3 linked regions of the Saccharomyces cerevisiae S288C genome follow. The main gene of each other region encodes a partner of the protein of the gene in region 2 in a complex. Each region holds a gene or a part of one and is shown on either strand. Other genes may lie near its edges. The genes, in order: UME1, RCO1 and EAF3. A codon is read from its position in the direction of its gene.

Region 1 (3,824 bases), on a different chromosome or scaffold from region 2:
TGATGTATCTGCGCCCAATACCGATAAAGGATCCGTAGAAACATTGCCTGCAGTCTCAACTGACGACCCAAATTGTGAAGTCAAAGTCACTGCTACCTATGACAAACTATTAAATAATTTGTCGATGGAGAGGTCAATCAGACTTTGAAGATACATGAATCCTTCTCTTCACTGATGGATCCATTTTCTTCTTCCTTTTTTTCACTGCATAAAACTTTTTTTATCAACCTTTCATATTTTCCATATTTATTTATATATACCGCCAGTAAATTTGGCGATATTCGATAGACTTAACAGATAAACTTTTTAAGATGAATTAAAGCACAGAGGATTAAGCTTACCTCTTTAGAATCAATTGATATGTTCGGCTACATATTAGACACTGCATATAACCCAAGGCGGGTAAAATATGAACAATTTCAATTGGGCTTTGTAAATGCTTACTTTTAAATGTAAACGAAGCTCATCAGAAGAAAAAAAACAAGAGATTTGGAAAAGGCTACTTCGACCTCAATAATTTCTCAGCCTATCTTTCTAATGTCATTACCACAATGGTGTCCACCGCATTCCACCTTAAAAAGAAATCCAACTACAGGAGAGGACGTATACTGCATATGTAAAAGGCCAGACTATGGGGAGCTGATGGTGGGATGTGATGGTTGTGATGACTGGTTTCATTTCACCTGCCTTCATATTCCTGAGCAGTTTAAGGACCTGGTGTTCTCTTTTTATTGTCCTTACTGTCAAGCGGGGATTACTGGTAAGAATAAGGACGCCATAATCAATGGTGAAGGGAGCTTGCCAAAAACCTTATGGAAAAGAAAATGTAGGATAAGTGATTGCTACAAACCATGTTTACAGGATAGTAAATACTGTTCTGAGGAACATGGTAGAGAATTTGTGAATGATATTTGGTCGCGATTGAAAACAGATGAGGATAGAGCAGTCGTCAAGAAAATGGTCGAACAAACAGGACACATAGATAAATTCAAGAAATTTGGACAACTGGATTTCATTGATAACAATATAGTTGTAAAAACAGATGACGAAAAGGAAATATTCGATCAAATTGTTGTACGAGACATGACGTTAAAAACTCTTGAAGATGATCTGCAAGAGGTTCAAGAGATATCGCTACCATTATTCAAAAAAAAGCTAGAACTTTTGGAAGTATATTTGGGATGGTTAGACAACGTATATACCGAAATGCGCAAGCTGGACGATGATGCTGCAAGCCATGTGGAATGTGGTAAAGAAGATTCCAAGGGGACAAAAAGGAAGAAGAAGAAAAATAGCAGCAGGAGTAGGGCTAGGAAAAATATATGTGGCTATTGTTCTACATACGAGCGAATACCCTGCTCTGTGGAAGAATTTGTCAGAGATTTTGGAAGTAATGAGGAAGCCACCAAAATACATGAGGTATGCACGAAGTGGAAGTGTAACAGACATTTGGATTGGGTGTCTACTAATCAGGAACAATACCTCCAGCAGATTGACTCTTTAGAATCTATGCAAGAAAGGTTGCAACATCTGATACAGGCCAGGAAAAAGCAACTAAATATACAATACTATGAGGAAATTTTAAGAAGAGGTTTGTAACGGCGTTGGAGCCTAATCAAATATCAGTTTCTACATATATATATACTTCGTAGTGATGATATATCAATTGGAGCGTCCTTGCATAGGCAACGCCTATTTGGATAGTCTTCAATTTCGACCCCATTTCACGTGAATAAAGCGGAGCTATCTCTGTTTTGCAAGGGTTCGGCCGATTTTGCTGCGAAATTTTAATAAGCGCATATTGATTTTTTCAAGCAATACTTTGTATATTCATGATCGAATGAATGAAAAAGCACCACTCCTCAGCCGCATACCTTCAGTATCGTATTTATTTCCTTCTTTAATCACTTAAAATGAGCACTTTAGATATTGCAGAAGACAACAAAATAAAAAATGAAGAATTCAAAATTTGGAAAAAATCAATACCCTCATTATACCAACATATTTCAAGTTTGAAGCCTATCTTTGGCTCAGGCGTTGACGAATCTCCATCGACACTTAGGAGTATAGTTTTCACTAACGATAGCTCATGTAATAAATCCAAAGGTGTTTTGAGCGTACCACTTTTATATTCTCAAGGGAGTGAAATCTTTGAGGTGGATTGTATAGTGCCACTCGGACTTCATTACAAAAAACCTGAAAGCATTTCAGAACCGTTAGTACAACCGGATTATACCATGGAATCTCAAAAGGTGGAGCAGACTGTTTTGATTCCAAAATGGGAATTTAAAGGTGAAACGATTGCAAAGATGATTTACGTGGATAACAGCGAAATAAATGTAAAGGTGATAGCCCTTTCTACCAATGGTTCTTTGGCATGGTTCAGAGAAGGTGTCAAATCGCCCGTTTACACAATGATGGAGCCATCCACTTCTCTAAGTTCAGCATCGTCCGGAAATCAAAATAAACCCTGTGTTGATTTTGCAATTTCTAACGATTCAAAAACCTTAACAGTAACTAAGGAAAAACATCTTGATAATGAAAACGCTACAATAAAATTGATAGACAACTCAGGTAAAATAGGAGAAGTGCTTCGTACAATACCTGTTCCTGGCATAAAGAATATTCAAGAAATCAAGTTTTTGAATAATCAAATATTCGCCACTTGTTCTGATGACGGTATCATAAGGTTTTGGGGTAATGAGATAGGCAAAAAGCCCCTTTGGATTCTAAACGATTCTTTGGACGGCAAAACAACTTGTTTTGCTGCATCACCGTTTGTTGATACATTATTTATGACGGGAACTAGTGGTGGGGCTCTCAAGGTTTGGGATATACGTGCAGTTATCGCTTTAGGGGATGCTGATGCTGAGTTAAATATCAACCAAGGACATAATAAAGTCAATGAACTATTCAAAGTTCATCACTTTTATAGCGAGCAAGTGTCCAAAATAGAGTTTTCTTCCATTTCGCCTATGGAAGTGGTTACAATTGGAGGGTTAGGTAATGTTTACCACTGGAATTTCGAACCTGTTTTTGCCATTTATAACGAGATACATGAGGACTTTCAAGGCATAATATCTGACGAATTGGAGGCCGAAAGCATGGCATTTTATCACACTGAGGGCTGCAGAAGAGAAATAGGAGAAAATAATAAGGTTAATACCGTTGCTTATCACAAATACATTGAGGATCTAGTTGCTACAGTTGATAGTGACGGGTTGTTAACTGTATATAAGCCGTTTACTGGAAAAGTTTTAGATGGCAGTAGAGAGGTTGGAGCTGCCAAAAGTTAATTTTTATATTATTTAGGCTGTTTGAGTTTGGGGCGGAAATGTATGAATAAATTGTGTAATATTTAGTCTTTACTTCAGCTTTTGTTTTTCTAAAAATTTGTTTTTAATGTTTTATTGTCTGAAGTAAACATTAATTATTAGCTTGAGAATTGCTCTACATGTATATATAAACGGCAAGGATCTACTCTTTAATATAGAGAAATGTACATACCTTTGAAAACGCGTTTTCAGAGTTTAGAATGTATAAGGTAACCTTAGAACCACATCTCTTATTGCCAGACTCTCAAAGGTGAACTGATATTGAGCCTATTTTACCCTTGTTTATGTTCACTTTCTCAATGCGAAAAAAAATCAAAAAGAAATAAACTTTATCCTTAGAGTTGAAGAATTAGAAAGAGAATAAATCAAAGGGATCAGTTGGGAAAGCTCAATACTTTCCGCTTAATTTTACTGAAAACCTCATCAAACACGTAGGCACATATATATTCATATATTTATATGTTGGCTACCTTCTAATTTGCATGAAAT
Region 2 (4,362 bases):
TTTTATATCCTATGTAAGTCTTCAAACTTTTTTTTTATCTCTGGTAACCTTTATTCGCATACAACGCCAATGAAACAAACCTGTAATAATTTTTCATAGTTAACCCATTGATGATACTTATTAAAATATGTAATCAAATCGTCACTATTACGGTGCTTTATTAAGATGTCCGTACCACCTGGATGGAACTTCAAATAACTAGAAATGTCATAGACTTTGCCGTTTATAACGCACCATAACTCGTCCTCACCTTTACAATGCTTCTTTACGATTTTTCTGTTTATTCTTAAGGGTGGCATTATTTTATAAAGGGGTATCTTTTGGACAAGCAATTGGTTCTTCAGTTGTGAAGGTGAAAACTTGAAGTTATCTTTTTGAAATACCGGATCATCGAGTAAATCCTGGATAAGCTGTAGCGAAACGAATTTTGTATAATAATTCGCTGGATTGGAGGTTAGAGAGTGCCAGTCCAGAGCACTGTGCCCAGGATCTAGTCTTATTTTGGTTCTTACAAGAGGCTTTCTTGACGACTTCGACATGGGCATATGCAGCGGGGATGATATGGCAGGATGAGCAACGCTTAGTCGCTGAGGAGCAGCGAATCTGACATTTGGTTTCGAGTTTGAAACATCTCTGTTCATGCCGTCACTACTCATATCTCTATGAGTGTAATCTAAGCACCTGCTAATATGTTATATTCTGCTTATTCGTCCTTTTGCTACACATAATTAATGTAACTTTAACTCTAGTTCTATAAAGGATATGATTTGTACTAAATGTAACATTATACGAAAAAACATATTATTCGTTTATATAAACTAATCAAAGAAGTCGTCATCATCTTCGTCGTCATCATTTTTAGCATTCTGCTTGTCAAATGAATTCAGATCTTCGCTGAAATCTTTCCGTTCGAAGATAATCTTACTGTTATTTTGTGAATTTTGTTGCTTGGCGATACCATTCAAGATTGAAACAATTTCAGCTTCAGTGATTTTATGAGTGACGTTGTTTGTAGCAATCAGTTTCTTTAAGTATGTCTCTACTGCTTGGGCCCTGTCTCTACGGACCAAGGCCACTCGAGATAATCTTTCTAAAGCTTGTGGCTCCAAGAAATTTGCAATAGCTGCACCAACGGGAGCGGAATTTTCACCTCCACCATTATTAGCACCGCTATTTCTATCGCCGTTGGTACCCCCACTGTTGTTTTTCAACTGAGCCAATCTGGCTTCCCTAATAGCTTGTAACTCTGGGTCCATATCTGAGCACACACTTCCTCCTGAATTGTAATCCAGAGAGCAAGAAGATTTTTCAACTTTTACTCTTGGTTCTCCTTGTAGAACCACAAGTGGTATAAAAATTCTCGCTTACCCAGCCCAAAAATTCTCATCTGTTTCTCATCTGTTTCTCGTCCGAATAAGTTTCCCGTTCGCAGCTAGGATTTCACCTGCTCACCATAATAGGCAACTTTCTTCCTCATGTAGGAAATTATACTATTGCTCTCTGTTGCAAGGTTATTTTTGAGCCTTAATACCATATTAGTAGATATAAATACATATATATCGTGTTAACCCATAAGTGGTAGTTTTAGTAGCTCGCTGCAAGATCTGCCTCATTCCTTTGTAGAGAACGACGTACCCACTACGCGTTTGAACATTTGCAACAAGCACGAGAGGAAGGAAGAAGAATACCAAGTATAAACGAGAATAATCACCATAGAAAAACCTATAAAAGACACTTCCATTACCATCTGCTAATAATAATACAATGGACACCAGCAAGAAAGATACTACTAGGTCGCCCTCACATTCCAACAGTTCTTCTCCTTCATCTTCTTCTCTCTCTTCATCTTCTTCCAAAGAGAAAAAACGTCCTAAGAGACTATCCTCCCAGAATGTAAATTACGATTTGAAAAGGAGAAAGATCATCACTTCTGAAGGTATAGAAAGATCATTCAAGAACGAGCATAGCAATCTTGCAGTTGAAGACAATATCCCGGAAGAAGAACCCAAGGAACTTCTTGAAAAGGACTCCAAGGGTAATATCATCAAACTTAATGAGCCATCCACCATCTCGGAAGATTCGAAGGTATCTGTCACTGGATTGCCGTTAAATAAAGGTCCTTCTGAGAAAATCAAGCGAGAGTCTCTTTGGAATTATAGAAAAAATTTGGGAGGCCAATCGAACAACTCAGAAATGACGCTGGTCCCCAGTAAAAGATTTACTCAGGTGCCGAAAAATTTTCAGGATTTGAACAGAAATGATTTGAAAACGTTTTTAACTGAGAACATGACTGAAGAGAGCAATATACGGTCAACTATTGGTTGGAATGGCGATATAATAAACAGAACTCGTGACCGTGAACCTGAAAGCGACCGCGATAATAAAAAGCTATCAAATATTAGAACCAAAATAATACTTTCAACGAATGCTACCTATGATTCAAAAAGTAAACTATTTGGCCAAAATTCCATCAAGTCAACATCGAATGCGAGTGAAAAAATTTTCAGGGACAAGAACAATTCAACCATAGATTTTGAGAATGAAGATTTTTGTTCGGCTTGTAATCAGTCAGGTTCTTTTTTATGCTGTGATACATGCCCCAAATCCTTTCACTTTCTTTGCTTAGACCCACCAATTGATCCGAACAACCTGCCTAAAGGTGATTGGCATTGTAATGAATGTAAGTTTAAAATCTTCATAAATAACTCAATGGCAACTTTAAAAAAAATTGAATCCAACTTCATTAAGCAAAATAACAACGTCAAGATTTTTGCTAAATTACTTTTCAATATCGATTCCCACAACCCAAAACAGTTCCAGCTACCAAATTATATAAAAGAAACCTTTCCTGCTGTGAAAACGGGTTCGAGAGGACAATACTCTGATGAGAATGATAAGATTCCATTAACTGATAGACAATTGTTTAACACTTCTTATGGCCAAAGCATAACTAAATTGGACTCTTACAACCCGGATACACATATAGATTCAAATTCAGGTAAGTTTTTAATTTGTTACAAATGCAATCAAACCAGACTAGGTTCATGGTCTCATCCAGAAAATTCAAGATTAATAATGACTTGTGATTATTGTCAGACTCCATGGCATTTGGATTGTGTACCGAGGGCTTCTTTCAAGAACTTAGGTTCAAAATGGAAATGTCCTCTACATTCCCCAACTAAAGTTTACAAAAAGATACACCATTGTCAAGAAGATAATAGCGTAAATTATAAGGTGTGGAAAAAACAACGATTGATAAACAAGAAAAACCAACTTTATTATGAACCTTTACAAAAAATAGGCTACCAAAATAACGGGAACATTCAAATCATACCAACAACTAGTCATACAGATTATGATTTCAATCAAGATTTCAAAATTACACAAATAGATGAAAATTCCATTAAATATGATTTTTTTGATAAAATTTACAAATCAAAAATGGTTCAAAAAAGAAAACTCTTTCAATTTCAAGAAAGTTTAATAGATAAGTTAGTATCAAATGGATCCCAAAATGGCAATAGCGAGGATAATATGGTCAAAGACATAGCCTCTTTAATATATTTCCAAGTTAGCAACAACGACAAGAGTAGTAACAATAAATCGGCTTCCAAAAGCAATAACTTAAGAAAATTATGGGATTTGAAAGAACTGACTAACGTAGTCGTGCCGAACGAACTAGATTCTATACAATTCAATGACTTTTCCAGCGATGAAATAAAGCATCTGTTATATTTAAAGAAGATTATCGAATCCAAACCAAAGGAAGAACTGTTAAAATTTTTAAACATAGAAAATCCCGAAAACCAATCCGAATAGAAACGGCGTACATACATAAAGAATAAATCAGGAACGTGAACACCTTCCTTACATATATACACACATACATAGGCATATGTATCGCATCTTAAAGTGAGAGATCTACCTATTTTCCTTTTTTTTCCATTTACAACATAGCAATTGATGTTTTTTTCCCTTCTAAGTCATCTCGATGTCATCATCTTCATCGTCTTTGTAGTCAACTTCTTTCCTGACCCTCAATTTCTTCATCACAATATTTTCGTGCCCTTTCTTGGTTTCATTTTTGTTAGACGGTGAATAACTGTCATCATCACTGTCTGATTCTCGATCCCCATCACCTTCTTCGTCGTCAGCCTGTGATCTCGCATGATGAACTTTCTTCTTTTTTTTTTGTGATTCATTGTTTTCGTGAGCTAATAACCTCTTTTGAAGCCTTTGTCTTTGAGTTTGTGACGTGTGAAGAATCCGTCCGATTTTAGCTTTTATATTGTTTTGTATTTTTTCAGTCAAGCTCTCTGGTATGTATGTTTTGAAAGATAACTGGGCCTCCTGAACCGTTGC
Region 3 (3,451 bases), on a different chromosome or scaffold from region 2:
AATAATAATAATTCCACTTGTTTGTGAGAAACCATCTAATTCGACCAATAACTGATTCAACGTTTGTTTGGCGTAAGCTTGGTCCTTTGGATTACGCTTACCACCGATGGCATCTAATTCATCAATAAAAATAATAGCTGGTGCACGAGAACGCGCTTGAGCAAACAAATCACGGATACGTTTAGCACCAACACCGACGTAAACTTCATCAAATTCAGAACCTGACATAAAGAAAAAATCTACACCAGCCTCTCCGGCAGTGGCCCTAGCCAACAAAGTTTTACCTGTACCAGGAGGTCCAGTCAACAGTACACCCTTTGGTAGTTTACCACCCAAGGACTCGTACTTAGTTGGATCTTTCAGGAAATCAACAATTTCTTCCAATTCCGCACGGGCCTCATCACAACCGCAGACATCATCAAATTTAACATTTGTCTTAGCTACATCAACTGATTTGTCGGCTACTTCTGACGACTTTAGTAGCGTTGTATTTTCTGTGATGTATTTAAAACCTTCAGAAAAAGAGTAGGTTAAGATACCGAAAACAAGCAGCCACTTTACCCATCTCGATACAACAGTAAAAGTTGATTCAGATACGACAACATGTAGTGGCTCTTTGCGAGATCCATAAAGCGGAGAATACATCGATGGAAAGTTACCATGATAACCTGACTGGTTTGATGAAGATGACGCCAATGATGGGTTAACTGCGCCAGCAGAGCTGGCTGTCAGTAGGTTTTGTCTAACGGCATCAGCCTCCGAGTGTCTGCCTATCCTCTGCAGGGCCTCCATGTACAGTTCCATGCATTCAGGCGATGACGCAATACCGGGGGTCTCAAACCTAGAGACCACGTATTGCGGGTAGTTTGATTGTAAGAGAAGTTTGTAAAAGGCTGCTTGTGCATCAGGACTCGTTAAGTCTTTATTGGCCTCTTGTTCTCTAGTTGCTAGCATAGCATGTGACACAGCTACGTTCGCTTGTTTGGTTTTATCATTAGTGTTCGATGGAGGTGGTGGTTGCGAATTGTCGATTGAAGATATCGTGGATTTATTGGATGCCTTTCCAGAGCTATCAGCTTCCTTCTTAGGAGGCATTTCACCGCTATTCTTTTCAGAATAAAAACGGTAGAACTTCTTTGATCTTAAGGCCCATTTTTTTTGAACTAACAAAGAAGCACCGATTTGAGGTAGCCTGGGAGCAAATATGCGTAAAACATTTGTCGTGACCGTGGGCGACACAAGTATTTTTGAAACGTTCATCTATCACGTCTCTGTTTTCGTTCTATCCACAATGTATTATAATTAAAAATTGCTTCAATAAAATCCTGTTTATCCTTTAAGCTGTGCTTGCTTTTTACTTATCAAAAACGCAAGGTAGAGATTTAACTCACTTCACCAACTCCGATATATTGCCTTTTCACTACCGCTACAGCGTACAGGAGCTACCACTCCTCGAAGAAAGAGGTACCATGTGATTCGAGATTACTAACCAACCGATGCTGATAGAAAAAGGTGGCGAAGATTGGGGGCCGTTCCTCCGGCGATCGCCACATATCGCATTTCACGAAAGATGAAAATAAAGATGCATCCGAAATCCCGACCAGAAACGTAAAAGGGTATATTGCAAAACAGTCGTTAAAAGCATATAGCATTTTGCATTAGCATCTGTGAGGCCTCGTCACTGGATTTACCCTATTGAAGAACGTATAATGGTTGATTTGGAGCAGGAATTTGCGCTCGGTGGGCGGTGTCTGGCATTCCATGGTCCTCTTATGTATGAAGCAAAGATCTTGAAAATATGGGATCCATCTTCGAAAATGTATACCAGCATTCCTAATGACAAGCCAGGTGGTAGTTCACAAGCAACTAAGGAAATAAAGCCACAAAAGCTGGGAGAAGATGAAAGCATTCCAGAAGAGATCATTAATGGGAAGTGTTTTTTCATACATTACCAAGGCTGGAAGTCGAGTTGGGATGAGTGGGTTGGATATGATAGGATACGGGCCTACAATGAAGAGAATATTGCCATGAAAAAAAGACTGGCGAACGAGGCGAAAGAAGCTAAGAAATCGTTACTGGAACAGCAGAAAAAAAAGAAGCTCTCCACTAGTCTGGGAGGGCCTAGTAATGGTGGAAAAAGAAAGGGAGACAGCCGCTCGAATGCTAGTATAAGTAAGAGCACTTCACAGAGTTTTTTAACATCTTCAGTGAGCGGCAGGAAAAGCGGAAGAAGTTCCGCTAATTCCCTCCATCCTGGCAGCTCTTTGCGCTCGTCATCCGACCAAAATGGGAATGATGACCGCAGAAGATCTTCTTCGCTATCGCCAAATATGCTACATCATATTGCCGGCTATCCAACCCCCAAGATTTCCCTTCAAATTCCCATAAAATTGAAGAGCGTGTTAGTCGACGATTGGGAATACGTAACGAAGGACAAAAAAATTTGCAGACTACCCGCTGATGTGACGGTAGAGATGGTACTGAATAAATACGAACATGAAGTGAGTCAAGAATTGGAATCGCCAGGGTCCCAGTCACAGTTGAGCGAATACTGTGCCGGTCTCAAGTTGTATTTTGACAAGTGCCTGGGTAATATGCTTTTATATAGGTTGGAACGGCTGCAATATGACGAACTTCTGAAAAAATCATCGAAGGATCAAAAGCCACTAGTACCAATTAGAATTTATGGGGCTATCCATCTGTTAAGGTTGATAAGTGTTTTACCAGAGCTGATCTCGTCTACTACAATGGATCTACAAAGCTGTCAGCTTTTAATCAAACAAACCGAAGACTTCTTGGTTTGGTTGTTGATGCATGTGGACGAATACTTCAATGACAAGGATCCAAATAGAAGTGACGATGCTCTGTATGTAAATACGTCTAGCCAATACGAAGGAGTGGCTTTAGGTATGTGAGACGTTTATATTCTAGCTTGGGATTATTTCTAGTATTTAGTTCTTCCGTATTTATGCAATAACTCTTCACAGAATATCTCGTGTAAGAATATGGACACTGTTCGTGGCACTTTACGAAATTCAAGTTTATTCTCTTTGCAAGGTTCTTAGGGTAATGGCAGCTCTGAAAGGGGCTTGTCGAGTTAAAACATCATTAATGATTATATTTTATTTTTGTTATTTTTCTGACGTATCCATCGTTTCGCATCTAGTATGAGCTTACTAAGAGCTTCGTATATAATGTACTATCATCTTCACTTACTCGTTTGCACACTACCAAGTTCTGTCCAGGGCTCCTTGTTTTATATTTTTAGTGTAATTGCATGGTCTATGCAACATGATTAAAGCAGCATCACACGCGCCATTATATAATCTAAAATAGTCCGTTGTCGTGCGCATTCTTCTGTGGCGCGTCTTATATGAGAAAAGGGTCTTTCGAAGTCATTAACCCTCTGACGCAGCAAAAAACAACTTTATGCAGGGTTTACTTCATACAG

Evidence for each region.
Region 1: RCO1 (region 2) and UME1 share a complex: the UniProt entries of both Saccharomyces cerevisiae proteins name them as parts of the RPD3C(S) complex.
Region 3: the proteins of RCO1 (region 2) and EAF3 are in contact, whole or in part, in a cryo-EM structure (PDB 8HXX), measured with the Saccharomyces cerevisiae proteins. Residues at the interface, in NP_013791.1 of Saccharomyces cerevisiae: Cys266 (codon at 2,560), Gln268 (codon at 2,566), Gly270 (codon at 2,572), Ser271 (codon at 2,575), His283 (codon at 2,611), Phe284 (codon at 2,614), Leu285 (codon at 2,617), Cys286 (codon at 2,620), Leu287 (codon at 2,623), Asp288 (codon at 2,626), Pro289 (codon at 2,629), Pro290 (codon at 2,632), Pro293 (codon at 2,641), Glu323 (codon at 2,731), Asn330 (codon at 2,752), Asn332 (codon at 2,758), Val333 (codon at 2,761), Lys334 (codon at 2,764), Ile335 (codon at 2,767), Phe336 (codon at 2,770), Lys338 (codon at 2,776), Leu339 (codon at 2,779), Leu340 (codon at 2,782), Asn342 (codon at 2,788), Ile343 (codon at 2,791), Asp344 (codon at 2,794), His346 (codon at 2,800), Asn347 (codon at 2,803), Pro348 (codon at 2,806), Lys349 (codon at 2,809); in NP_015348.1 of Saccharomyces cerevisiae: Leu222 (codon at 2,373), Ile224 (codon at 2,379), Ile226 (codon at 2,385), Lys229 (codon at 2,394), Ser230 (codon at 2,397), Leu232 (codon at 2,403), Val233 (codon at 2,406), Asp234 (codon at 2,409), Trp236 (codon at 2,415), Glu237 (codon at 2,418), Tyr238 (codon at 2,421), Thr240 (codon at 2,427), Lys241 (codon at 2,430), Glu280 (codon at 2,547), Tyr281 (codon at 2,550), Ala283 (codon at 2,556), Gly284 (codon at 2,559), Leu285 (codon at 2,562), Leu287 (codon at 2,568), Tyr288 (codon at 2,571), Lys291 (codon at 2,580), Cys292 (codon at 2,583), Gly294 (codon at 2,589), Asn295 (codon at 2,592), Met296 (codon at 2,595), Leu297 (codon at 2,598), Leu298 (codon at 2,601), Tyr299 (codon at 2,604), Arg300 (codon at 2,607), Arg303 (codon at 2,616).

Annotation. Positions count from the first base shown.
Region 1 is NC_001148.4:289,141-292,964, reverse strand, and holds UME1 (Ume1p), read left to right. Parts: upstream 1-1,913; coding exon 1,914-3,296; downstream 3,297-3,824. Other genes in the region: protein phosphatase regulator GIP3, read left to right, coding at 1-148; SPP1 (Spp1p), read left to right, coding at 538-1,599. UniProt on the Saccharomyces cerevisiae protein: Catalytic component of the RPD3 histone deacetylase complexes RPD3C(L) and RPD3C(S) responsible for the deacetylation of lysine residues on the N-terminal part of the core histones (H2A, H2B, H3 and H4).
Region 2 is NC_001145.3:412,218-416,579, forward strand, and holds RCO1 (Rco1p), read left to right. Parts: upstream 1-1,764; coding exon 1,765-3,819; downstream 3,820-4,362. Other genes in the region: IRC21 (Irc21p), read right to left, coding at 51-656; SDD2 (Sdd2p), read right to left, coding at 819-1,256; YMR075C-A (uncharacterized protein), read right to left, coding at 3,471-3,836; sister chromatid cohesion factor PDS5, read right to left, coding at 3,979-4,362. UniProt on the Saccharomyces cerevisiae protein: Catalytic component of the RPD3C(S) histone deacetylase complex responsible for the deacetylation of lysine residues on the N-terminal part of the core histones (H2A, H2B, H3 and H4).
Region 3 is NC_001148.4:608,290-611,740, reverse strand, and holds EAF3 (Eaf3p), read left to right. Parts: upstream 1-1,709; coding exon 1,710-2,915; downstream 2,916-3,451. Other genes in the region: i-AAA protease YME1, read right to left, coding at 1-1,260. UniProt on the Saccharomyces cerevisiae protein: Component of the NuA4 histone acetyltransferase complex which is involved in transcriptional activation of selected genes principally by acetylation of nucleosomal histone H4 and H2A. The NuA4 complex is also involved in DNA repair.